7 linked regions of the Oryctolagus cuniculus genome follow. The main gene of each other region encodes a partner of the protein of the gene in region 7 in a complex. Links are inferred from orthologs where the notes say so. Each region holds a gene or a part of one and is shown on either strand. Other genes may lie near its edges. The genes, in order: TCTN1, MKS1, TMEM231, B9D2, CEP290, TMEM107 and TMEM17.

Region 1 (3,500 bases), on a different chromosome or scaffold from region 7:
CCGCAAACGCCAGGAGCTGGCTGGGAAGAAGCCAGGAACTCAGTCTGAGTCTCCCATGCGGTGGTAGGGACCCAACCATCTGAGGCATCGCCTGCTGCCTCCCAGGGTGCACGCTGGCTGGAAGCTGGACTGGGAAGCAGAGCGGGACTTGAAGCCAGGCGCTCCTGCGGCCCAGGCAGCATCCTAGTAAGCGTGCCGAGCATCGGTCCCGTCTGCTGAATTGTTAAGGTGTTTGACAGGATGAAACTCGGCACTGAAAGTCCAGGTTATCATTGTCACTTAAAAGCTGCTACCCCTCGGGGGCCGGCGCTGTGGCATAGTGGGTAAAGCCGCTGCCTGCAGTGCTGGCATCCCATATGGGTGCGAGTTTGAGTCCCGGCTGCTCTGCTTCTGATCCAGCTCTCTGCTGTGGCCTGGGATAGCAGTGGAAGATGGCCCAAGTCCTTGGGCCCCTGCACTCGCATGGGAGACCTGGAAGAAGTTTCTGGCTCCTGGGTTTGGATTGGCCAGTTGGGGAGTGAGCCAGTGGATGGAAGACCTCTCTCTCTCTCACTTTTTCTCTCCCCCACTCTCTCTCTCCACATACACACACTCTCTGTCTCTCCTCTCCTGTCATCTCTCTCTGACTTTCAAATAAATAAATAAATCCTTTAAAAAAAAAGTTGGTACCCCTCGCTCATGCATTATTGTCTGAATTACCAAAGATATTCCAGCACTTGAGCAGGTTTGCTGCTTGCCTAAAAGCCTGTGAGTGTGAGTTCGACTTCAGAGTTGCAGACGTAAGTGAACAGTGAGGCACCACTGAAAACACTCTCTCCGTGCGGGCGTTAGGTGGTCCCCCAAATTGTGTCCAGAGCAGAGGCTTAGGAGCCTGTGATTGTGAACTGCTGGCTCTTGTGAGCAGGCAGGGGTTTCACGTGTGCTGGCTCTTTGGCCTGCTTTTCTTTTCTTTTTCTTTTTCTTTTTTTTTTTTTTTTTAAGATTTATTTTATTTAGTTGAAAGACACAGTTACAGAGAGTGGTAGAGACAGACAGAGAGGTCTTCCATCCATTGGCTCACTCTCCAGATGGCCGCAACGACCAGAGCTGCGCTGATCCGAAGCCAGGAGCCAGGAGCTTCTTCCCGGTCTCCCACGCAGGTGCAGGGGCCCAAGCTCTTGGGCCACCTTCTGCTGCTTTCCCAGGCCCTAGCAGAGAGCTGGATCGGAAGAGAAGCAGCTGGGACTAGCACCAGTGCCCATATGGGATGCTGGTGCTTCAGGCCAGGGCTTTACCCGCTGCGCCAAAGCACCGGCCCCTCTTCGGCCTGTTTTGAAAATTACTTATGTTTGGGTTGCATATTCACTTACCACATCAGGTGGAGCACAAGCAGAACTCCCTGGGTGAGTCCTGGTCAGCCGCTGTGGGGTGCTCCGCCTGACCGCCTGCTGCCCACCCCACCCCACAGTGCAGAGAAGCGGTTCTTCTGGTGACGCTGGTGTGTGGTGGTGGCGGGGGCAGTCACCTCCTGCTGACTGTGCTGCTGTGACCCCTGCCCTTCTCCCTGCAGTCGCTGCTCTGTGTGTGTGTGACCTGTCCCCAGCACAGTGTGACGTCAACTGCTGCTGTGATCCCGACTGCAGCTCCACGGATGTTAGCGTCTTTTCTGCCTGTTCAGTTCCAGTTGTCACGTAAGTCTATGACACGTGCAGGTTTGACAAGATTTGACCAGGAAAATAAAATTTGGGGAAAGTGAAAACTTCCCCAGACTGGAAAACCCAAACCTGATTTCCTATAGTTTTCACCATTCAGAAGCTGTGTTGTCCAAAGCAAGATGTAAATGAGTAGCTTTCTCTTATTTGCATCCAGCCAGAGAGTACAGGCAAAAAAGAGAGTGAAATCTAAGGAGTATGATGAGATCTCTCAGTGTTTGGAGGTAGTCATACTCCAGTTTGACTTTTTCATATTAGTGAATTAGTCTCGTGTGTAATACAGGCTGACAATTGTAGTTTATACCTTTTTTTAAAAAGATTTATTTTAATTATTTGAAAGGCAGAGTTACAAAGAGAGGGAGAGACACACAGAGAGACCTTCCATCTGCTGGTTTACTCCCCATATGGCTGCAATGGCCAGGTCTGGGTCAGGCCAAAGCCAGGAGCTCCAAGCTTCTTCTGGGTCTCCCATGTGGGTGCAGGAGCCCAAGCACTTGGGCCATCCTCCACTGCCTTCCCGGGCCACAGCAGAGAGCTGGCCTGGAAGAGGGGCAACCGGGACAGAATCCGGCGCCCCGACCGGGACTAAAACCCGGTGTGCCGGCGCCGCTAGGTGGAGGATTAGCCTAGTGAGCCGCGGCGCCAGCCCTCAAATAAATAAATATTAACAAAACAAAAAACAACCAACACTTGGAAAAGATTTATTCAGGGTAGGATCAATTCATTATTCAGAGAAAGCTAATTTAATTTAACTTGATAGTTTTAGCAATTTATACTTGGCTGATTGAACCCTTTATAAATTTTTAAATGTGTTTCTCATTGTATTTGAAAGGTGGAGAAAGATCTTGCATCTATTGGTTGACTCCCCAAAGGCCCACAACAGCCAGGGCTGGGCCAGGCTGAAGGCAGGAGCCAGGATCTCAATCCAGGTCTCTCATTTGAGTGGCAGGGACCTAAGTGCTTGAGTTGTCGTCTTTGCCTCCCCAGGTGCATGTTAGCAGGAAGCTGGATTGGACCCAGGTGCTCTGATATGGGATGCAGATGTGCCAAGTGGAATGCCCCAAATGCCTGCCACCCCTGGCCTTGAGTGAATCCTTTTTAAAAGTATAATGGGTTGGGGCCGGCGCTGTGGCGCAGCAGGTTAAAGCCCTGGCCTGAATTGCCGGCATCCCATATGGGCACCGGTTCTAGTCCTGACTTCTACTCTTCCGATCCAGGTCTCTGCTATGACCTGGGAAAGCAGTGGAAGATGGGCTAAGTCTTTGGGCCCCTGCACCCAGGTGGGAGACCTGGAAAAAGCCTGGCCTAGCTCCTGGCTTTGGATCAGCGCAACTCTGGCCGTTGTGGCCGTTTGGGGAGTGAACCAGTGGATGGAAGATATCTCTCTCTCTCTCTCTCTCTCTCTCTCTGCCTCACCTCTATCTGTGTAACTAACTTTCAAGTAAATAAATATATCTTTAAAAAAAAAGTATAATGGGTTTTATTCTGTTAGGATCTTTTTTTTTTTTGACCATTGGGAAATCAAACCTATTTTTAATATTGTAAAAACTGTTGAAGAATGGGTTGTTGCAATTAGGTTAATTTTCTTCTGGCTACTTGGACTACAGCTTGAGTCTATTGAAAATCATTCTGCTTGGGGCAGGTAAAGCTGCCTCCTGTGAGGCCAGCATCCCCTGTGGGCGCTGGTTCAAGTCCTGGCTGCTCCACTTATTTTTTTTTCTAAAAAAGATTTATTTATTTATTTGAAAGGCAGAGTTACAAAGAGGCAGAGAGAGTGGGGGTCTTCCATCTGCTGGTTCATTCCCCAAA
Region 2 (4,016 bases), on a different chromosome or scaffold from region 7:
CCGATTTAGCACCCAGAACCCAGTGAAGCCAAAAAGCCAGGGGAGGCAAAGAAGGAAGCTACAGGGCCTTGGGAAGAACAATACCTCCTCCAAATTGGTGTAGCGGTCAGAGTCGGTGTAGGTAAAGATTCGTCGGTTCTTCCTGCCCCCCGACTGCTCCAGCTTCAGGATCTCTTGCCGGTACTGGTAATCCAAAGGGCTCTGACAGGCTGCTTCATTCTGGTACAGATCTACTTCAAACTGAGGTCGCCACAAGGAAACAGACATCCGAGATACCTCAAAATTCTGATCCTAGAACTACTACCAAATCAGTCCTAGAGAGCTGATATTATCTGACATAGCTCCATAATTAATTCTCATAGATTTAAACCAATGGAGGGCAGGGGACCCAAGAATGTTAGAGAGCAAAGGGGTGAAGCTCTAGTCCAACCGCATTGTTATAGGTGGCGTAGGGTCCACGGTGGGGAAACGTGCCTCACCCAGGGTCATAACACTGAGCGGTGGCGGTCACTATATTACACTGCCCTTGTAAACACAACAGAGGGAGGTACAAATTGCTACGACCATCCCAGAAATCACTTTGGCAATGTACAACCAGCCAGGTGGAGGGAGACCACGCAGTGAACGACACCGGCTCACCTGGCTAAAGAGCTTCTGCTGCCACCCAATGACCACCTCCTCATCTTCATCTTCCTCTGGGCGATGTCCACCTGCAAAGACAACAGAGTTACGTCACCACCATTTCTTGCTCTGAGGTTGATTGTAACCAAAGCCCCTACTCTTATGTTTGCCACAAAACCAGCAGGAGTTCAGTGATTTATTAAGCATTCAATGTAGACAAAGGATACACTGGAGTTAGCAGGAGTTGAAGCCAAGATTAAAACCCACAAAGTCTTAATCACTATTCTAATTTGAATAAAATGTAGTTCTGCCTTCCAGGAAGTAGTCAATTTAACTCATTGTCAGGAACTGAGCCTAGGATATAGGTTGACCAGCCAGCTCTTCTTCAATGCCAGCTGCCTGCATTTGCTAGGTAAGAACCCTGGCATTTTCATTTTAATTGTTCCTGAAGCCATACAGCTAGAATCACAATCATGTCAGAGACCAAGTGTCAGGAGAGGGCAGGGAAGGCAAATAAATGATTTGTTAAAGAACCAGATCTAACACACTCCAGGGGTGAGTATCTTTTTCAGAGACACAGCTTCAAAACCCCCATTTCACAGAGGAATACTTCTGAGTGCAGAGAAACAAAAGGCAGAAACACTAATGGCCCAATACAAGCACCAGCCTCTGTTCCTCACACCTATGGCTTCCCAGATAAGGAGAACCACAAGAACACTGTGGGTGTTCAAACGCACAGTCTGCAAGCAGTCTTCAATCGTAAAATTGTTTTTAAAAGTATTTACATGCATATGTAGAGTTTGAGCATATCTTTCTTAGACAAACGAACAAAAAGCCATAAATGGTACGGTTGCCAGGCCCATTTATAACATCAGATATACGCTATCTGTCTTTTGCCACTATACTGGACCACAATTTGCCTCAGTATCTTGATAGCAGGAATCGTATCTTATTCAATTTCCACAAATAACACGATGAAGTAGTTAACACCACCTTGGTTCAAGTGCAGGCTCCAACTATGTGACCTTAGGCAAGCAACACAATCTCTTTGCCTTCCATTTCTCCTAGGTAAGAAAGGTGCAGTTGGGGCCGGCGCTGTGGCACAGTGGGTTAAAGCCCCAGCCTGCAGTGCCGGCATCCCAAATGGGTGCCGGTTCGTGTCCCGGCTGCTCCTCTTCCAATCACAGCTCTCTGCTATGGCCTGGGAAAGCAGTAGAAGATGGCCCAAGTCCTTGGGCCTCTGCACCCGCATGGGAGACCTGGAAGAAGTTCCTGGCTCCTGGCTTTGGATCAGCTCAGCTCTGGCCATTGTGGTCATTTGGGAAGTGAACCAGCAGATGGAAGACCTCTCTCTGTCTCTACCTCTCTTTGTAACTCTGTCTTTCAAAGAAATAAAAATACTTAAAAAAAAAAAAAAAAAAAAAAGGTGCAGCTTTCTCTGAACACCACAGGCCTGGGTCTCTTCTGTCCTAACGGGAACCTCTACCCCCCAGGCCCTCCCTCGCCCAGGTCCCCAGGGGGCTGCGACTCCACCGTGACACCCACTGGCAGTGGGATGAGGCCTGAAGGTGGCCAAGTCTATGAGGTCCTTCCGAGGCTGGGCCGCAGGCTGGTAATGAAGAAAGCTGCCTGAGGTGATTCTTTGCAGGTGGACTCTGTGAAGAAAACAGAAGCTCGAATACGCGTTACAACACACACAACGCAGAGCAAGCATGGGAAATACAAAACACAGGGCAGGCGCCGGGTGGGGCGTGGGCCCTACGGGGAAGAGAGGGTGAGAGGACTACTGCGGAGCCAGGGCTTGAGGAATCGGAGAGCGACAGGCCTTGAAACGACCTGGCTGGGTGTGGAAGGCGAGCTTGGAAGCCCTACGTACAGAAGATCTGGGGAATGCAGAGCGATGTAGAGAGACCAGGGAGGAAGATCGGGATTGTAAGCGCAAGTGGGGGCCTCAGAAGAACGACAAGTTCAGGCTCGAAGGGCATAAAAGCATAGCACCCCGGGCTGGGGCGGCGCGACTACCGGAGGCGCAGGTTGCGCACAGGGTCCCGGGAGCGATACACTGCTTCCCCGGTGTCAGTACTCCAGACGGTCTCCGCCATGATATCTGCGACGCGCAACGACTGCGCCGGAAAGCACACCGCCCCCAGTTCCCCTGGCAACGCAGACGCTGGGGCGGAGACGCTACGCACGCAACCCGCCCTTCCCGCCGCGGCGTCGCCCCCTAGCGCCCCAGAGCGGGCAGTGCAGGAGCCTGCGAATGTCCGCTTTACCATTTGTGCGAACGAGGATCACTCACTCCTGAGGCGGGACTTAAGGCGCTGTACAAATGAGGGGCCAGGCACAGCCGTCAGCCCACTTGGCGTAAATGCAGGGTGATGAGACTAGACCTGTTTTCCCACTGTGCCGTACTGTCTTCCGCTGAACGCAAGAAAAACGGGCGGAGGAGACTGAAAGAATGCACCCATTAATCCCAAAGGAATCAGGGAAGGTGGTGGCACTCCCCAGACACGAACGCACATTCTTCAAGGGGCGGGGGAGGGGGGGTGCGGGTGTCCTACTTATTAGTCGTTGTGTTGGTATTCTCTGGGCCAGAGAAGGAAAAAACAGGGAGGGCCAACAGTTAAAACAAGGAAGACAGCAGCAGGAAAGAAGAGATGTAGTCATGGCACAGGTTCCTCCCCTGTGTGTTAGTTCCAGATTATTAAACTAACTGCTGTGCTGCCCTGGCCCTCTGAGAAGCCCACAGAGTGACATTCAGGACATGCCCTAACCTCAGCTGGCTCCCTTTAACATCTGCTACTTCCCCAACAGGGTTAGCAGTTGTCCCCTGAATTCAGGAATCAGTTTGATTGCATGGCCTTGAACACCTGGGGTGCCATAGCTGCTGTTTGTGCCTTGCCAAGGACTCTCCATAAATAGCACCATTTAGGTAGGAGCTAATTTAGCCTGGGAACTTTGTTGGCATTGTTCCCAATCCTCATGGAAACCCTAAGTCCATTTTTATCCCCATTTATTTTTTTAAAAGATTTATTTATTTACTTGAAAGTCAGAGTTACACACAGAGAAAAGGAGAGGCAGAGAGACAGAGAGGTCTTCCATCCACTGGTTCACTGCCCAGTTGGCCGCAATGGCTGGAGCTGCTGATCTGAAGCCCAGAGCCAGGAGCTTCTTCCAGGTCTCCTACGCGGGTGCAGGGGCCCAAGGACTTGGGCCATCTTCTACTGCTATCCCAGGCCACAGTAGAGAGCTGGATCAGAAGTGGAACAGCCGGGACTAGAACCAGTGCCCAAGCGGGATGCTGGCACTGCAGGTAACTGCTTTACCCGCTATGCCACAGCACCGGCCCCTTATTCCCATTTAACAGATGAAGTTAGTGAAGGCCAAGGGCTTAA
Region 3 (4,106 bases), on a different chromosome or scaffold from region 7:
GGTGCTGGTTCGAGTCCCAGTTGCTCCACTTCCAATCCAGCTCTCTGCGGTGGCCTGGGAAAGCAGTAGAAGATGGCCCAAGTCCTTGGGCCCCTGCACCTGTGTGGCAGACCTGGCAGAAGCTCCTGGCTCCTGGCTTTGGACTGGTGCAGCTCTCACTGTCGTGCCCAATTGAGGAAGGAACCAGCGATGGAAGACCTCTCTCTCTCTCTGCCTTTCCTTTTCTCTCTGTGTAACTCTGACTTTCAAATAAATAAATAAATCTAAAAAAAAAAAAAAAAAAAAGAATTAAGAACCAGGGCTAGCATTGTGGCGCACTGGCTGTAGGGGGTAGGGGAAGAAAATATTCCATTCGAGGCCGGCGCCGCGGCTCACTAGGCTAATCCTCCGCCTAGCGGCGCCGGCACACCGGGTTCTAGTCCCGGTCGGGGCGCCGGATTCTGTCCCGGTTGCCCCTCTTCCAGGCCAGCCCTCTGCTGTGGCCAGGGAGTGCAGTGGAGGATGGCCCAGGTGCTTGGGCCCTGCACCCCATGGGAGACCAGGAGAAGCACCTGGCTCCTGGCTCCTGCCATCGGATCAGCGCGGTGTGCCGGCCGCAGCGCGCCGGCCGCGGCGGCCATTGGAGGGTGAACCAACGGCAAAGGAAGACCTTTCTCTCTGTCTCTCTCTCTCACTGTCCACTCTGCCTGTCAAAAAAAAAAAAAAAAAAAAAAATTCCATTCGGTGGTACACTCCCCAAATGGCACGATGGCCAGGGCTCGGACATGCTGAAGCCAGGAACCAGAAGCTTATTCCAGGTCTCCCACATGGATACAGGGCCGCAAGCACCGGGCCATCCTCCACTGCTTTCCCAGGCACATTAGCAGGGAGCTGGATCGGAAGTGGGGCAGCCAGGATTCGAACCAGTGACCATATGGAATGCCAGGGCTTTAACCCGCTGTACCACAGTGCCAGCCCCAAAATTACCCAGTATGAAAGTGATCTCATGGTATGGGTACCATAAACATTAAGAGTTAGTTTTGGCTTCTCATTAAAATTGGAACTGCACGCCAGATGCAAGGGGGGACCAGGGCGGTGCACTGAAGGGAGTGGTTGGTTTCTGGTTGCAGAGCTAAGAGGCCAACAGCAGCTGTGTTGCACGAACCCGTAAAAACAATGAATGAATGAAACTTAATGGTTTATCCTTGTCTTCACAATTATCTCAAGCCTGCATGGTATTTCTTAGACTCAAATGACCAGAAGCACATGATAGAGAGGAATATAAACATGTGGAGAAAAAACCTGGGGCTAGTGCTGTGGCACAGTGGGTTTGACCTCTGCCTGCAGCGCCAGCATCCCCTATGGGCACCGGTTCAAGTCTTGGCGGCTCCACTTCCAATCCTGCTTCCTGCCACTGTTCCTGGGAAAGCAGCAGAAGACGGCCCAAGTACCTGGGCCCCTGACACCGACGTGGGAAACTGGGTACTTTCCTAATTAAAATAAGTCAATAGGGGCTGGCACTGTGGCGCAGCGGGTTAACGCCCTGGCCTGAAGCACCGGTATCCCTTATGGGTGCAGGTTTGAGACTCGGCTGCTCCACTTCCGATCCAGCTCTCTGCTGTGGCCTGGGAAAGCAGTAGAAGATGGTCCAAGTGCTTGGGCCCCTGCACCCACTTGGGAGACCTGGAAGAACCTCCTGGCTCCTGGCTTTGGATCGGTGCAGCTCTGGCCGTTGCGGCCAACTGGGGAGTGAACCATCAGGAAGACCTCTCTCTCTCTCGCTTTGCCTCTCCTTTCTCTGTGCAACTCTCATTTTCAAATACATAATAAATCTTAAAAAAAAAAAAAAGCCAATAAATTTCAGAAGTAACCAGAGAAAAACTATCTGTAACAAACTTTCTAGTTATTCATACGACCTATCATCTTTTTGCTGGGAACATTTTTTACACGAGTTTGTCTTGTAGGCCACTCACCTCAAGGACGTGGAAGAAGGAAAACTAGAAGTTTCGGCCCTCTTAAAGAAAAAGTCTCAATTTTACCCCGGACAGATGCACGCTGGAGCAGCCTCTGAGATCACGTGGGGCAGGCTCCCTCCGCCGGGGCCCTGCCGGGGAACAGGTGCGGGGCGCCCGGTCTCCGAGGGTCAGTCCTGCCCGGAGACGCCCGCCCCCGACCCCCAGCTTCCGCCGCGCCGCGTGAACGCGGCGACACCGCGGGACCCCGAGCGCGCACCGTGCCCGGCCCGGGTCAGCACGCAGCGCTGCCCGGGTACCTGGGCGTCTGGGGGAAGCGGAATTCCAGGCGGGAGCCACGCACCGAGACGAGCGGGACGCGCAGGCGATCCCCCTGCAGCCGGTTGAAGGCGGGGAAGGTGCTCCAGGCCAGGAAGCCGTCGCGCTCCGGTCCCAGCAGGGCCACGAGCAGTACCTGGTGTTGGAAGCGCACGGTCGGCTGCTCCTCGTAGCTGCTCCGCTTCAGCCAAAACCCTGAGAGAAGAAGGGCGTGAGAGGGAGAGGGGGACAGGTCAGGCAGGCCGTCCCGAGCGGAGGCGGTGGCGCGCACCGGCCTAGCAAGCTCACCGTGGCTCCGGAAGGCCACCAGCAGCGGCGGGATGTAGGTGAGCGCGGCGGCCAGGAGCAGGAACAGCGCTGCCTTGGAGCAGAGCCCCGCGCGGTAGCCGCGCTCGGCCGGGTGGGAGTAGAGCTGGTACAGCGCCATGGACGGCGCACGCCGAGACCCCTACGCAAACCGAGAAGGGACGACCAAGTTTGGCTGTTCCCGGCTGCCATCGTCGTGGTCTCCACGGCAACCGGCGGCGCCGGGAGGAGGACCAATAGTAGCGGCGCGGGCCTCTAGAAGGGGCGGAGCTACCTGGAGAGGGGCGTGGTCAGCCAGTGGACGGGCCACCGAGAGGGGGGCGTTGCGTGTTTTGCTTCGGGACGGCTGAGGACGGCTGAGTGGTCCACGCTGATGCCCGCAGGTCGCACACGCGTGGCCTCGCTCCTCGACCTGGTCCTGGACGAAGGCCAAGGCCGGGTTGCTCCGCCTCTGTGTTCTGTGGCTCCGGAAGCAGGACAGCGCACAGGACCCAAACCCTCGGCTCTGGGGCGGGCAGGGTCATTACTACGTACATTGTTACCTGTATTGGGTGCAGGTTCGGCTGCCGGTTTCAGAGGGAGCTACTAAACAAGATACATTTCTTTTTAAAAATATTTATTTGAAAGAGTGACAGAGGGAGGCAGAGATCTTTCAACTGCTGGTTCGCTCCCCCAAATGGCCCGAGGAGCCAGGAACTCCCTCTGGGTTTCCCACTTAAGGGCAGGGGCCTGAATATCTGGGCCATCATCATCTGCCTCCCAGGATGCCCGAGCAGGAAGCTGGAGTGGAAGCCGACCAGCTGGGACTTGGCACTCCCCTCTGGGACGTGTTGTGCAGTGGGTTAAGCCTTTTTTTTTTTTTTTTAAGGTTTAATAATTTATTTGAAAGAGTTACAGGGAGAAGGGGAGAGAGATCGTCCATCCGCTGGTTCACTCCCCAAATGGCCGCAGCAGCCAGGACTGGGCCAGGCCAAAAACAGGAGCCAGGAGCTTCAACTGGGTCTCCCACTGGGGTGCAGGGGCCCAAGCACTTGGCCCCTCCTCTGCTGCTCTCCCAGGTGGAAAGTGGATTGGAAGTGGAGCAGCCAGGACTCAGTTGGCACCCACAAGGGATGCTGGCCCTGCAGATGGTGGCTTAACCCGCTGCACCACAGTGCTGCCCCAGTGGGTTAAGTCGTACTTCCCAAAGATAACATTGGTTTATTGCTAATTGATTGCCCACCGCCTTCTCTGCCAAGCCAGTATTTTGAACAGGGTGGAAGGATTTTTAAAACCTATGATCCAAAAGAAAGGAAAAGAAAAAAAAAAGTAAGCAAACAACAAAAAAAAAGAAAAATAAATAATAAAACCAATGGTCCACAGCCAAGTTCTCCATCCAAAGGCCCTGAAGACTCCAGTTGCAGGATCAGGAGTCAGTGTGGGGGCCGGTGCTGTGGTGTAGTGGGTAAAGCCACCGCCTGCAGGGCCAGCACCCCATATGGGTGCCAGTTCGATTTCTGACTGTCTGCTTCGGTTCCAGCTCTCTGCTAT
Region 4 (4,071 bases), on a different chromosome or scaffold from region 7:
GGGAACACAACCCATGTCTCCTACGTAAGCGGGAGGAACCCAGTCACTTAGGCCATCCCTGCTGCCTGCCAGGGCTGGCATTAGCAGGGAGCTAAGCCAGCAGCCAGGTGTGCGGCGGGATGTGCAGGTCCTAACCCCGAGCTAAACACCCGCCCTCTATAGCCATTGCCTCTCTCTCTCCCCAGCACTGTCGCCACTGGAAATCACTGAGTTAAGTTTCTTCAGCGGCTTATATAGTGTCTGACGCTCGTAGAATGAGCTTCAGGAGAGCTTGGCCCATGCACATGGCGGGATCCCCAGTGCGTGGTATACAGAAGGTGGTCGATACATATTTTTTGGGACAATTAAGTGACCCTAGAAGCTATGTGTGCTATGATTACCATTTTCCAAGTACAGAAACAGGCTCTGAGAAGGAAGTCACTTGGTTAATTATTCCATGAACATTTATTGAGCACCTAGGGTATGCCAAGCCTGTTCTCCACTCTGGGGATACAGCAGTGACCACAGCACCCAAAGATCCCCAAGCGCAGAAGTCTGTAAAATGTCCAACTGCAGCGACCAGGCCCCTCGGCCACTGTCTCTGAGCTCCCTGCTGGATTCAATGCCCCAAAGCCACCTGCGATAATAAAAGCCAAGCATGACTCCCTCTGGCCTTGGTGAGGGAAGCCCTGAGTCAGGCTGCGTAGACACAAGATTACTTAAACAGCCCCAAGAAAAGGACAGCAGCCCGGGATCACAGAGCAGGTGAGTGCTGGGGTCCCGGGTAGACATGGAGTCTGACTCCTGAGCCCGACTCTGATCCTGCGACTTCACCCATCCAAGTCAGGTCCAAGGGACCCAAGCCCGAGACGCAGCCACGTCTACCTCATAGGTTGTTACTGGGGCTGGGCAGCCACGTGCCTGGGCTTCACTAATGGGACCCTGTCGGAGTCACCCGCGAGCCAGGCACACAGCACCAGCCAGCCCTGCTCTGCGTGCTGCGCATGCTCCCCTAGGCCTGGCAAAGATCCGCGAGGCACACGTTGTTACTGCTCCCATGTGCACACAAGGAAGCAGACGCACAAACAAGGCCCTAACGTCACCTATTAATAAGAGGCTGTCTACGGTGCCAGCTTCCCACATGGGCCCCATTTGAGCCCCAGCTGCTCCACTTCCGATCCAGCTCTCTACTATGGCCTGGGAAAGCAGGAGAAGATGGCCCAAGTGCTTGGGCCCCTGCACCCACGTGGGAGACCCAACAACTCCTGGTTCCAAATTCGCTCAGCTCTGGCCGTTGCAGCCATTTGAGGGATGAACCAGCGAATGGAAGACTCTCTCTCTCTCTCTCTCTCTCTCTCTGCCTCAGCCTCTGTAACTCTGCCTTTCAAATAGATAAATAAACCTTAAAAAACATAAACACCTGGTTAGGACCCAGGCAGTCTGTGCTCCTAACCTCGACGCCACACCGCCTCTCAGCTGCTATCCACACCGTGCCGTTCCTCTCAGACAAGGAGACCGAGGGCTGGAGAGGTCAAGTCCAGAGGCCACAGATACATACATGGGGACTTAGTATCTGAACCCAGATGTGGCTGCCTATGACCCTGGCCATCACACTGCACCTCTACAAGGTCTGGCCTCCATGCAGACCTACAGAAACACTGGGTCTCCAAGTCCCTGCTGGGCCGTGTGGACTTGGATGATTGCTGCCTTCTCAGAGCGAAAGGCATTCTGACGACAGGATGTGGCCTCTCCTCTGTAAGTCTGGGGTGCAAACTTCTACTTTACAGTAAGAACTCAATAAATGGAGGCTGCTAGTCAAAGAACGAGAAAGCTGGGGAGGATCCCAGGACACACCCCCAAGGCAGCAAGTGGAGTTAACAGGAGCGCTCTGACATGAAGCGTGTGGATGGGGTCTCCCCCTAGCCCATCATCGTCAATGGCCATGCATGCCGAGGGTGGGAGCCAGGGTCCCCGGAGACGGGGCAGGAAGGAAGTGCGGGCCTCACGCGGCCAGCCTTGGCCAGGGCCGGGAGTGCTGAAAGCCCATGGGGAGAGGAGGACCCGGGGTGGGGCGGAGGGTCCAGGGAGAGCGCGGGGTCTTGGTGGGCAGTGACCAGGCCTGGGGGGAATACCTGTGTGGATGCCCCACTTGCAGAAGAGGCTACTTTCCGAGAACCCGGTGGCCCCCATGATCTGCCCGATCACGTGCACCTCAGCCATGGCGCTGGGAGGGAAAAGAAACAATCAGCTCTGAGTAGGGAAACTGAGGCCCAAGCAAGGGGCAGAAGGCCACCAACCTGGTTTTGTCAACCCTCTGAGGATGCAGAGTTATCCACCGACTCTGTCTCCCCGGGAGATGGGGGGAGTAGCCCTAGACTTGGGAACCGGTGCCTAACTATGCCCTCCTTAAACCTCTTCCTGACCTGGCTAAGTCCCGCTAAGGGGCCGAGAGCTCCACCCACAGCCATCAAAGCTCCGCCTCCCCGCGGCTGATAGCCCCGCCACAGGCTCGACGACGCATGCGTATTGAATCGAGGCCCGCCTCCGAACACCTCGGCCCCGCCCCTACTCGTTGCGCATGCGTCACTCCTACCTCACAGAGCTTAACGGCTAGTGGGAGCGAATGCGGCAGCCGGATGCTGGTTCTGGGCCGACTCCGTCCTCTTCGCGGGCGCCAGCGACGCCGGCCTCGCGCCTCCCGTGGGACCTCCCTGACAGCAAGGGCGCTAAGGCGCGAACCTCCGCGACCGCCCTCGCCTCAGGCTCCCTGGCCGTTGCTGGGACAACAGCAGGCTCCTCCCCTGGCCTTGCCCCCGCCCTGCACGCGGCCGATTGGTGCTCGCTGTCCTCGGGGGCGGGGCAATGCCGTGATGGACATCTCTCCGTAGCCTCTCCCAAGCCCCGGCCCCGGGATCCGCCGTTGGGGGCGTGGTCGGGCAGTTGCCATCTTGAGTGTGGCCGGGAAGTTTGAGCGCCGACTGTTTGTGCTGCAGAGCCTCTCCAGGAAATGTGTCAAAATAAGCTTCGCGGCCCGCCTCCTCCCCCTAAAGAACACCTGTCTCCCGTCCTGAACCCCACATGAGAGACTTGAGCCTGAGCTCGGGGGAATTCCCTCGGGTCATTCTGTGCATCCCCCGGCCTCGACTTCGGAAACAACCTCTTCTCAGACACTCAGAGGCTGGGGCGGGGCTTCCCTTCCCTTGCGGAGTTCCCCAGGCTGCTCAAGGCCCAGCGGTCCGGGCCCTCCCAGCGACTGCACGTTCGCCGCCAGTGCTGTGAGCGAGCGGCGTCCCCGGGCCCAGCGGTCCGGGCCGTGGGGCGGGTGCACGCGGGCGCCTGAGGTCCTGAGCGCCTCTCCCCGCCTCCGCGTCCAGGGCAGCCTGGTCCTCAGGACCGGGAGTCCCGCCCAGCCGCGCCTCCTACCGCGGGGGCTGCACACGTGGAGGACCGGGGAGGCAGCAAGGTGCACAGGACAGCATGCACACAGGTAGCGCCATCCGAGAAAGAAGGTTCCTGACAGACAGCTGGGAACGCCACGGTCGTGCGTGCCTGCTCCGTGCAGCCCTGGTAACGAGGACTGCAGGGCGTCAGGTCCTGGTCCTCGCGGACACACGGGGTGGGGTACACAGGGCTTCTGCTTCATGAAGACTTGAGGCCAGCGTCATTTGCATCTATTCCCGTTTGTCCCCCATCAGGGTGAATGACAGCACCCAGCTTGTGGGATTGTTCCAGACTGAAGGAGTCACCGTCTATGGATGTCTTCAATAGGCCCGCAGGGGCCGGCTTGGTGGCGCCTGCACCTCAGAGCGCCCGCTGAGTCCCAGATTCCTGGGGTGCGTCTGAGCAGACAGCAGGCAGTGGACTCAGGAGCTTGGAGGGCGGAATGCAGCACGCGCTCCTGGCTTTGAATTGGTCCAGGCCCTGATGTTGCCCCCTCTGAGGAGGTAACCAGCAAATGGCAGATTTCCTTTTTCATTCTCTTCTCTCTCACCTGGCACTCTGCCTTTTAAATTAATACTTAATAAAAAAAAAATCAAACTACCTGCTGGCACTTTGGTGCAGTGGGTTAAAGCCAGGGCCTGCAGCGCCGGC
Region 5 (3,500 bases), on a different chromosome or scaffold from region 7:
CTCTTTCTTGAGCCATTTGACGAATTTTTCTTTTCAAATCAAGTCGTTCTTCCTCTAGACTTTCAATCTGTGAAGTATGAATCATTAGTATTTCTCTTTAATTCAACCAAGAACACAGTCAAACACAACACTTGCCTCTTTCAAAAGAATCTGGTTTTCAGCTCTGTATTGCTGCTGTTTCAATCGCTTGCTGTTTCTAAATTCGGTTAAATCAATCATTGTTTTTGATTCAAGGCCTAAAATAGAAAGCAACACAATTAAAAGCTTAAAAACTTTCAAATGAAATACAAAAATGTCATATACCACTAAGCAACTGGTTATCATTCATCCAGCCATTAAGACTGAAGAACACAGACAGTATTTTTTGTGTGCAAGAATTTTTAAGATTTGAAGTATAACCCAAGTTAATATATTACTATAATTATTAATGGAATTCCTGACAAGAACATATCGGGATCTTTTTTCTCCATGTCATGCTGTTACAGAGATTCTATAATGTATTACAGAAGAGAAGCTTAGGAACAAATCAGAGTTGGGTGGCTTAATTCCTATTTTTAACTAGTACCTAAGTTGTAAGCATAATACTGTATTTATTTTTTGGCTTGTTATCAGGGGAATGAAATTATTTCAAATATTGTTCAGTATATTGCCTTGCACATAGCAATAAGTATTAATTTTAATATCAATTTTATTATCATTATTAGTTTTTTAGTGTGCTCATCTCCTAACTTGCTATCACTATGCATCTATACTCTAAAAAATATATATTAAAATGGTCTAATAAATATAGTTATAAACCAAGACTTGGAGACTTTAAAAAACAGATTTCTGGCGTTTGTGACAGCTACTTTTCAGAAGTCATCTTTAAGAACTGCCAGATTCCTGGCTATGATCTGATAGGTCAAGTTGATGAGAAGTCTAACTTGGGGTCCTAATATAAATCTGGGTTCTAATTAGATACTTTCCACAAATAATCTATATATAAAATATTTTCCTTTCCTTCCTTCACAGAAAAGTTTTTATAAATGGTCAATATAACTCTAAGAAAGCATTAACTGATATTTAGCAGGTATAATAAATTTAATATTTAGATTTTTATTTTTTTAAAGAAGCAACTTAGATTGGGCTGCAGTAATTTAACATTCACTGATGAATTTTATGAAATTAATATGTAAACTTTCATGCCATAATTATGAATTACTTCCTAGTGAATTGAAACCTCGTACTTAACTAAAATAAAACTTAAAGCATCCTAAAATCCGTAAAAGTCTTTAAAAGTCTTAAAAGGTTTATATAGTACTTCTCAAGGTTCTCATAATTCATCTGAAACAATAACATTCTGCAGACTAACATGGGTCATACAATCCCTACTTTTGTTGAAAAAATGCTAACTTCTGATATATTGTATTAATACAACTGACTTTCATTCTTAACTAAGCAGTAATTACTGAGGAGATATTAGACTGAATAAAAAAATTATTTATCTGCCCACCTATCATACCTACCCCATGAAATCCCCAATCCCATTTCAATCAGAGAGGCTCCATTTCATTCATTTTAAATGTTTTTCTAGAAATATATACTTGGAAAAAAAATCAACAATTTGAAAATAATAATAAGCAAAAAGCAAACCAAAAAAGACTTGAAAGAGTTGAGAAAACTATGTATCTTAAAAAAAAGCTTACCCATACGCTCTCTAAGTGCCTCATTTTCATCCAGGAAATCATTGATCTTCAATTCAAGTTTATTGATTTCCTTTGTCAATTCTTCAATCTCTTGATCTCTTATTTTAATTTGGTTTTTACAATTCTTTATCTCAACAACTGCATCTTCTAAACCATATACACCCTGAAAAATATCCAAACTAATATAAAGCATAATTTGAATAAATGTACCAAATTTGTGAATTTATTAGTAAGTCTAATGAGAAATGTACAATATCTATGATTTATATCACTACACGGTTTTTTTGGGGGGTGCTTTATAAATCCAGTAATAATAATGAAGGCATATAGAACAGCTGGAACTTCCAAGTACAACGTGCTAATGGCAAAGTGATTCAGAATGTTCTATATAAAACTCTTAACAAAATACTGGGAAAAAATCACATTAACAATACTAACAGAATATGTAAATCAATAGCTTCCTTATTTCATTGATAATCAGATCAATAAATATAAAAAATACAAAGCAGCTCATGTTGACATGGCAGGCAACAAAACTGTCCGTCTCATAAATTTTGTCAAAATAGCAAGTGATGTCACATCTACATGGTGGCACAACGGACACAGATAACAAAGAATCTAATCCTACTGCCTCACCAAAGCTGATGATCTGGGCAAACTCTTTTATCAAATTAATTAGGATAACCCTTATTAAAAGACGCTTATGTAATGTTTCTTAAATGGTATGCAGTAAATGGCACCAAACTGTGCGCAGCAAGAATAATTCTAAGCTCCTTGATTGACAAGATAAAAATACATACCGATTCATAATCTTTTAACCGCTTCAGAGCCTCAACTAATTCTTTATCCTTTTCCCTAGCATCAGCCTCAGCCAGCTCAGCTGTTCTCTCAGCCTCTTTAGTTTTCTCTTCTAAAATTTGTAGCTTTGACTGAATTTTCATATAATGAGTCTGTTGAGAAAGGGTAGAAGCACCTACAGGGTAAAACAAACATCATTTATTAATTTAGTTGACTATTCATTCTTTTAAATAACTCCTCAGTATTATACTACTAACAAAGCATCCTTAATGTTATAATTTTATATTTGTAACATGAAAGTTTGTTTTGGTTTTATTAAGAAAATTAACTAAAAAGCAAAGCTCAGTAAAACTGTCTTAGCTGAAAGGGTATGGATGATAGAAGGTTGTGGAACACTGTTTTATGAGGATTGATCATTGTGGAAGATAGCAGTTGTAATATTCAATGTCCCTTTTTTCCATTATAACAGAGGTATGGATGTTTGATAGGATACATGGTCATCCAAAACAAAGGCTAAATTTCCACTTACACTCCAGCAGCTAAGTGTGGTAATGTCATTCATCAGATATAAATACAAAATTCATGTGCAAATTTAGGAAATTTTTTTAATGTTTTCTTTTTTTTAAGATTTATTTATTTATTTATTGGAAAGGCAGAGTAACACAGAGAGAAGGAGAAATAGAGATAGAGATCTTCCATCCATCGGTTCACTCCCCAAACAGCAGCAATAGCTGGGAATGGATCAGGCTGAAGCCAGGAGCCAGGAACTATATCCTGGTCTCCTGTGTGCTTGGTAAGGCATCTTCTGTTGTTTTCCCAGGCTCATTACACAGGGAGCTGGATCAGAAGGAAAGCAGTTGGGACTCAACCAGCACTGCCAGTTCCCTCAGCAGTGGCTTAATCTGCTGTACCACAATGTCAGTCCCAGAAAATATTTTTTTAAAAATTTGCTTATTTTATTTTAAAGGCAGAGTTACAAAGAGAGATGGAGACAGGAACAGAGAGAGAGAGAGGGAA
Region 6 (3,962 bases), on a different chromosome or scaffold from region 7:
GGCAGGCCAGTGGTGGAGCTCCCAGGCCTTGTGCGACGGCGGGAGTCAGCAGCCCTGCCTTCTGATTTTAACAGGCCCACGTGTAGCGGCCTGCGCTGAGCCTGCACTGCCGAGACCCCAGGCTACCCTCACCCCACATGGAGGGGCCAGCCTGCACCCCCGAGGGGAGGTCAGAGCAGGCCCCCATGGACCCCACAGGAATGCGGACAGCGACTTGATCCTCTCTGCTGGAATCACTCTCCACCAGGAGGCCCGCAACTGGAGAGTCAAGCGCCTCCCTCAATCCTTGGCTCTTTTACCCCCTCCTAGAGGATAGTGGGGTGTGTGTGTGTGTGTGTGTGTGTCTGCCTCCGCCTCACCCCCATTTACCTCCAGGGCCCGGTGCACAGCGGCATCCACAACTGTTTGAGGATTGTGTCAAATCCCTGCACTGCCTAAGCAGAGGCGGGGCTCCTGGGGGGAAGGGGGTCGCTGAAGGGAGTCGCGCTGGAAACGGGTCGTGGGGGCAGAAAGGATACAGATGAGGCTCTGGGTGCTGTTGAACATGGACACTCCTGAGAGGAAGCCGGCCAGCTCCACGGCAAAGAGGCCCAGGGTGACCGAGAGGGCGGCCACCAGCCTGCAGAGAGGAAGGGGAGCGGCTCAGGACCCCCGGCCTCCGGGACTCCCACCGCCTCTTCCTTCGAACCCCCACCCCCCCAAGAGCTCACTGCACGTCCTGCTTCTCATACTCCTCGGGGGTGAATCGGAGGGGCAGGCAGGCCTGGACGTTGCTGTCCTGGGGAGCGGGCAGAAAAGGAAAGGAAGTGAGAGAGGCCGGCTGAGACCCCGGGCGGGGTGGGCGCGGCGACCACGGCGAGATGGCGACGCGGAGTGGCGGCCGTGGGTCTTACCCGCGACCAGAATAAGGTGATGACGACCACCAGATGCGCCAGCAGCGTCAGGAAGCGGGAGGGCACGAGCCCCGAGATCCGGCTCATGCTCCTCAGGGCCGCGGGCGGCGGCGCTGGGAAACCTCTCCCGGCCCGCGGCCTTCGCGCGCCTCAGGGGCCGCCCCGTTGCCTTGGTAACTGCGTACGCGGACCGTGCGCCTCGGGTTCTGAAGATCTCGCGAGAGCCGTAAATTCTCGAGCCGCCGTCGTGCAAGTGCGCCGTGTTCGGGGACCCCGCTGCGGCCGCCAGCCTCCTAACCGGAGGACTACGTCCGGGGGTTCGCTGGCTGCTCAGGTCCGGAGCGGCGCGGCCCCAGGCTGCATTGCCGGGAATGGCCTGTCCGCGGAGGAGGTGCTCGCGGACTGCTGCGGCCGGCGTGCCGGTCTTAGGTTGGAGGCTCAGACGCGGTCTTCCCTTTCCGTCCTCGTAGCTTCCTTGTGCCCTGAGCCCAACGTGGAACGTTCACTGGACCTACCTTGTCCGGCAGGCCCGTTGTCACGGAGCCCTTGGTGGTCGGAGCACCCCAGACATCTTTGCCGGGTTCGGTGAGGGATTTGCATAGTGCAGAAGATGGTGGCAGCCTCAGCCTAGGGACGGCCCCGCCGGGACTGGACAGGGCGAGCGTGGACGAAGCGTCCCGCACAGGAGGTTTGGAGCTGCCTGGGACGCAAGGCTCAGCTCTGGTTCCGGGGTCTCCGAGGTACCGGCCGCACGGGCTCCAGGAAGACCCCTGCTGCTTGCGCACACCCAAGGGGCTTCCCTCCCCGCTTCTGAGGAGAGTAACCCCAGCCTTCAAGTCAGCCTGCACTGCAAAGCCTAGTGGTAGGCAGCCCAAAAGGAGGTGGAGCGTGGTCGCGGCAGGCCTTGCAGCCACCAGGCGCGACGTGGTCAGATTCGTATTCTCCACGACCCAGGTTGCAATATGGAGAGACTAACGAGGAAGCCATAGAAGTATCCAGAAAGGACAGGGTGAAGCAAAGACGATGGAGCAAAGCAGAAGGATTGGGGAGAGGGTCTGGCTCGGGGCCTGTGGGTGGGTGAGGAAAAGGGAGAGTCAAGGTGACCCAAGGATTTTGCGTTCAACAGCTGGAGGTTTGGAGCATTCTGCTCAGTAGGCGTTCTGCCTAGGAGACGGGCTAGACAGTACAAACCGAGTTCTCAGGTCCTTAGGTGTGGACTCATGAACAGGGAGTGGGCAGCCTATGTCTGCTTTGTCCTTGTCCACAACCTTGGTTTATAGAAACTTGCCTCAGAGAAAGTCGTTTCTTGCCTGGGTTTTAGAGCCTGCTGGTGGCCATGGGCTGTGCTGCGGGTGACCAGCTGTCCTCCCGTAGGTGGCCACTCACTCCAGGGCTGGATTCGGTATCTCAGCATTTGAATTGGTGACAAAAGAACTTGCAAACTTTTCATTTTTTGGCATCCTAGGAAATTTCAAACACAACGTAAAAATGAAACAGTATAACAAACCCCTGGGAGGGCCACTGCTCTGCCTCAACAGTTGTCAGCACGTGGTCAGCTTTGTTGCCCCCTCCCCTCCACCACAACCCCACACGTGTGCATTGGGGTACAAATAAAGTCCACTTGGCTGACATGTCTGAAATCTCTGTTAATCTTGGGTTTGCCCTCCTCCCCATCACCTCACCTTCCTTCTTTTCTTGCTGAAGATACTGGGCCACGTGTGGCGTCATTTCATTCTCTCCTGGCACTGTGTTTCCTGCAAACTGATGGTCAGGTCTAATGGTTGATCTATGTGTCATTCAGTTTTCTGGTAAGATCACATCCCGAGGGATGGTTTGTACTTTCTGTTCACCTCATCAGGAATCCTGCTTGTCTGTGTGTCTGTCTGTCTGTGGTGCTGAAGTCTGAGTGGTGGCTTCGGGTGCGGTCAGGCTGAGCCACCCGTGATAAAATTCTTCATCCATTCTCACCTAATGGTACCACGGGTCCTCATTGCCTAACTGCATGATTTCAATAGCGATTGCAAAATGGGGATGGCCTAATTCGAGCCCTCTTCTGCATCTACCAGCTAGAATTCTTTTATCAGTAAGAATTTTCCATGAGATACGAGTCATACAGGAAAGGCAGGATAAATGGGTCCTTTTTTTTTTTTTCCATTATTTGCCAGTTTTCAGAATCCCGGTTCAGTAGTGTCCTACAAACACAACTAGATCTTTTTAGTAGCATGGTGACCACATAGATTTTAACATCTTTTGTGTATTTCAATCTACCTTTTTTTTTTTTTATAACTAAAGAACATTTATTTTCCACTAAGAGTTTGCCTTGAGGATGTAACTAAACTGAGCCACCCCCCACCCCATCTCTAAGGGTTAGTACAGTGACTGTTATAAAGCAGATCTCAACAGTCTGAAGCTCTGGAACCAACATTAACTGACAAAAAAATTCCATCTAAATCCTCATAAAAATGTTTAAGTAAAAAAAAAAAAAAAGGGAAGAAAAAGAAAAGAAAAAAGGGGCAATGGGGGTTTCAGATTGAACAACATTCTCACACTTCATCTGATACATTCAATCTGGCTAGAGTGTACCAAGTGGAAACAGGATCACTATAATACAAAACTCCCACTACAGCACGCTGTACACACCTGTGTTCCAAGCCCACCCCCATCCCCCTACTGCTTCCACTCCATTATTTTCCCGCCTGTTGGGCCTGCCGGCGGAGGAGCACATAGATCTTCTCTTTGATCCAGTCTTTGTTATAAGGCTGGTATGTCTGGGTATCAGCCCGGTAAACAAGGCAGCTGAGGTCTGCCAGATCATCAATAAAATCAAACAACTGACTGATATCGTATGTGATAGACGGACTGTTGGGATTCATTCTTTTCAGATGTTCCTCATACATTTTACAAATACCTTCCATGCATTCATTCACAGATTCATAGTCAGCATAAGTTCTGCCTTCTGGCCTCTTGGTAGGCTGTACCAGCAAAATGGTATGAGACATCGCGCCAAACTCTTCTCTTTGCAGCCGCTGCCGACACCGCCGCCGCACACGAGCTTCTCATTCTACCTTT
Region 7 (2,664 bases):
CGCACTTGGGAAGGCAGTGGATGATGGCCCATGTGCTTAGGCCCTTGTCACCCATGTGGGAAACCCAGATGGAATTCCTGGCTCCTAATTTTTGTCTGCCCCAGCCCTAGCTATTGAAACCATTTGAGGAGACATCCATCCAGTGGATGGAAGATCAATCTCTCTCTCTCTATCTCTTCCTCCTTCACTCTGCCTTTCAAATACATAATAAATCTTAAAAAAAAAAAATGAAGAGTGTGGTTCCTTTGGCCATCTTAGTTCTTGCTATATATATAAACAGACTGGTTTCCAAATAAAACTTCATGTTAATTTAATGGATATGAAGTAGTTCTTCAGTGAATATGATGAGTACATGAGAACACAAAATTAAATTTAATGTGCCTATTAGAGTGCTCATTACAAAGAAGGTTCTCTGAAATCTTTCCCCTTCCTTCTCCTGCATTTCTGTAGTGTGAAATAATAAACCCATAGTCCAAAAGATCTATATAAAACAGGAATTGTTTGTTGCTGATAGCTTACCATAAATATTTGATAATTTATTATGAAAACATTTTGCATACTGCCACACAAATACTGAACATGGTTTTATGAAAGTTATAATTCTTTGACAAAAATATTTCCTTAATACCATGATAATCTGTTTTCTTCTTTACATCAGTATACCTTCTAAGACTAGGGTTAGAAGTTAACCACAGCAAATACAAAAATTTTGTTTTTTGGTTTATAAATATGGTCTGATGCACAATAATATTGACCAGCATTTCCATGCACTTCAAGAAAAATGGTCTGATACACAGTCAAGATATGGATAACTGACACATTTAAAAGGTACACATTTCTGGTTACAGATCTGAAATGGAAATGTTACAGTAAAACTGGTAAACTTACAACTACCACGCAGAATTTTTCACACTCAAAAAGACCAACATCATCAAACAACAAAGAAATTTGGCATTAGGTGGACAGCATCTAAGTTTCAGTGTTCATACGCCGCTTTCATGCATGGCACAGCCTTATCACTGCCCCTGTCCTTGGGACTCAGAGCTTGAGAGTAAACACACTTCCCTTGTACCTTTCCTCATGCTAGGTCTCTGATGTTTTCCTAACTCTCGCAGTCTTCTAGAATCAACTTTGAGATTTTCATTCAGCAGCACTGGGTCAAATCTCTTCTATACATGACCTCATCCTTCTCATGTCTCCTCTGTTTGCAGAGAGCCGGTCAAAGTCTTGGAGGTGGAAACGAGTGGCCAACTGATTGACCATTTTCCTCAAGGTAAGAAATGCTGAAACAACTTGGAAAGTAAGGAAGATGGTGAAGATGATATGTATTGCTTTTTCCAAGGGCAGATTTGTTAGGCCTTCATTAAAAAGCAAGAAAAGAATTAAAGGCAACTGCAGCAGAAGGCTCAAAAGCCAAAAGCCAGCCAACTCAGGAACCTGCAATGACATGATGAGGAAAAGGATCAGGCCAATGCAGTGTTTTGCTTACACAGATAAACAAGGATTTAACACTACTAAGGATCTACATTATGGACTCTGAATAATTCAAAAGGAGGGTGATGTAGTCCTTCTCCTCAGAGAACCTACAGTATAGATCAGAAAACTAGCTTATATGAAACAGTCCTAGAATGCTAAAAACTTCATTGAATATTTAACTGCAGAATTTAGAGATATTGGACTAAGTGGTACAAGTAGTAACACAGTGATTGGTGTAAGTGAAAGAAAAACTATAAGGATGTAGGCTTTATTTATTCAAAAACTACTTATTTATTTTATTTGAGAAAAAGAGTTTGTGTTTGCTGGTTCACCCTCCAGATACTGGCAGGTCTGGACCAGGTGGAAGCCAAGAGCCAGGAATTCAATTCAGGTTCCCATGTGGTGGCAGGGACCTGCCCACCGTCTCCCAGGGTGAACATTAGCAGGAAGGTGAAATGAGGAGCACAGCCAGAACTCAAACTCAGGCACTCAGATACGGGATGTGAGTGGTTCAGCTGGTGTTGTGACTACTAGGCCAAATGCCTGCCCTGAGGATATAAACTTTGGAAGTTGTGCAAAAGGAGGAAGAGGCAAGAAGGTAAGTAAGCAAGCATGTGAAAGGAGCATGACTGGGAACCAACACATCAACCTGGAATGGAAGGCTGGGCTAAGAAATACCAAGCAAAACACTAAGATGGGCTGGGTGGAGCATCGTTATGAAAGGCCTAGAAAACCACAACCTCTTCAGGCATCCTTCCCACACCCTGGCAACCATAAATGCTTAGGCAGCGTAACGACTCAGAAAACACGGGCCTGGCTGAGGAAATTCGTTTATAACTCCCCTTTCTCTCCTGATTTCTCATTCAGGATCCAAATTAACATGGTCAATTGACCAAATATCTTTGAGACTGATAAGGAGAGAAGAACATTATCAATTCTTCAGTGCTTACTATATTCAGGGACTTGATATCAGTCATTTCACTTAATCCCAACAAGCCCGTGAAGTGTATTTTCCCCATCTTAAAGATGATGAAACCGGGGCTCAAGAGATTAAGCAAAGAGACCACGATAGCAGATGAGCAAAGCTGGAGCCAGGGACTAAATTCAGGCTTATGTCTTTCCACCACACCTCACTGCCTTTAACCTGTTATGAAAACCTTGATGCACTTTGATGCGGTGCTGAGAGAA

The links.
Region 1: TMEM17 (region 7) and TCTN1 share a complex: the UniProt entries of both Homo sapiens proteins name them as parts of the tectonic-like complex. The link is inferred for Oryctolagus cuniculus from reciprocal best matches to the Homo sapiens genes TMEM17 and TCTN1.
Region 2: TMEM17 (region 7) and MKS1 share a complex: the UniProt entries of both Homo sapiens proteins name them as parts of the tectonic-like complex. The link is inferred for Oryctolagus cuniculus from reciprocal best matches to the Homo sapiens genes TMEM17 and MKS1.
Region 3: TMEM17 (region 7) and TMEM231 share a complex: the UniProt entries of both Homo sapiens proteins name them as parts of the tectonic-like complex. The link is inferred for Oryctolagus cuniculus from reciprocal best matches to the Homo sapiens genes TMEM17 and TMEM231.
Region 4: TMEM17 (region 7) and B9D2 share a complex: the UniProt entries of both Homo sapiens proteins name them as parts of the tectonic-like complex. The link is inferred for Oryctolagus cuniculus from reciprocal best matches to the Homo sapiens genes TMEM17 and B9D2.
Region 5: TMEM17 (region 7) and CEP290 share a complex: the UniProt entries of both Homo sapiens proteins name them as parts of the tectonic-like complex. The link is inferred for Oryctolagus cuniculus from reciprocal best matches to the Homo sapiens genes TMEM17 and CEP290.
Region 6: TMEM17 (region 7) and TMEM107 share a complex: the UniProt entries of both Homo sapiens proteins name them as parts of the tectonic-like complex. The link is inferred for Oryctolagus cuniculus from reciprocal best matches to the Homo sapiens genes TMEM17 and TMEM107.

Annotation. Positions count from the first base shown.
Region 1 is NC_091452.1:8,276,571-8,280,070, forward strand, and holds part of TCTN1 (tectonic-1), read left to right. Parts: intron 1-1,549; coding exon 1,550-1,670; intron 1,671-3,500. UniProt on the Homo sapiens protein: Component of the tectonic-like complex, a complex localized at the transition zone of primary cilia and acting as a barrier that prevents diffusion of transmembrane proteins between the cilia and plasma membranes.
Region 2 is NC_091448.1:33,643,763-33,647,778, forward strand, and holds the start of MKS1 (tectonic-like complex member MKS1), read right to left. Parts: upstream 2,801-4,016; 5' UTR 2,724-2,800; coding exon 2,644-2,723; intron 2,277-2,643; coding exon 2,167-2,276; intron 711-2,166; coding exon 640-710; intron 241-639; coding exon 85-240; intron 1-84. UniProt on the Homo sapiens protein: Component of the tectonic-like complex, a complex localized at the transition zone of primary cilia and acting as a barrier that prevents diffusion of transmembrane proteins between the cilia and plasma membranes.
Region 3 is NC_091449.1:57,934,800-57,938,905, forward strand, and holds the start of TMEM231 (transmembrane protein 231), read right to left. Parts: upstream 2,801-4,106; 5' UTR 2,698-2,800; coding exon 2,559-2,697; intron 2,466-2,558; coding exon 2,296-2,465; intron 1-2,295. UniProt on the Homo sapiens protein: Transmembrane component of the tectonic-like complex, a complex localized at the transition zone of primary cilia and acting as a barrier that prevents diffusion of transmembrane proteins between the cilia and plasma membranes.
Region 4 is NC_091449.1:13,268,852-13,272,922, reverse strand, and holds the start of B9D2 (B9 domain-containing protein 2), read right to left. Parts: upstream 2,801-4,071; 5' UTR 2,573-2,800; intron 2,499-2,572; exon of another isoform or gene 2,277-2,498; intron 2,204-2,276; 5' UTR 2,200-2,203; coding exon 2,112-2,199; intron 1-2,111. UniProt on the Homo sapiens protein: Component of the tectonic-like complex, a complex localized at the transition zone of primary cilia and acting as a barrier that prevents diffusion of transmembrane proteins between the cilia and plasma membranes.
Region 5 is NC_091442.1:90,786,509-90,790,008, forward strand, and holds part of CEP290 (centrosomal protein of 290 kDa), read right to left. Parts: intron 2,659-3,500; coding exon 2,486-2,658; intron 1,849-2,485; coding exon 1,686-1,848; intron 237-1,685; coding exon 136-236; intron 68-135; coding exon 1-67. UniProt on the Homo sapiens protein: Involved in early and late steps in cilia formation. Its association with CCP110 is required for inhibition of primary cilia formation by CCP110.
Region 6 is NC_091448.1:52,667,230-52,671,191, forward strand, and holds the start of TMEM107 (transmembrane protein 107), read right to left. Parts: upstream 2,801-3,962; 5' UTR 2,576-2,800; intron 2,355-2,575; 5' UTR 981-2,354; coding exon 894-980; intron 779-893; coding exon 716-778; coding exon of another isoform or gene 711-715; intron 620-710; coding exon 519-619; intron 1-518. UniProt on the Homo sapiens protein: Plays a role in cilia formation and embryonic patterning. Requires for normal Sonic hedgehog (Shh) signaling in the neural tube and acts in combination with GLI2 and GLI3 to pattern ventral and intermediate neuronal cell types.
Region 7 is NC_091433.1:140,426,351-140,429,014, reverse strand, and holds the end of TMEM17 (transmembrane protein 17), read right to left. Parts: intron 1,438-2,664; coding exon 1,159-1,437; 3' UTR 501-1,158; downstream 1-500. UniProt on the Homo sapiens protein: Transmembrane component of the tectonic-like complex, a complex localized at the transition zone of primary cilia and acting as a barrier that prevents diffusion of transmembrane proteins between the cilia and plasma membranes.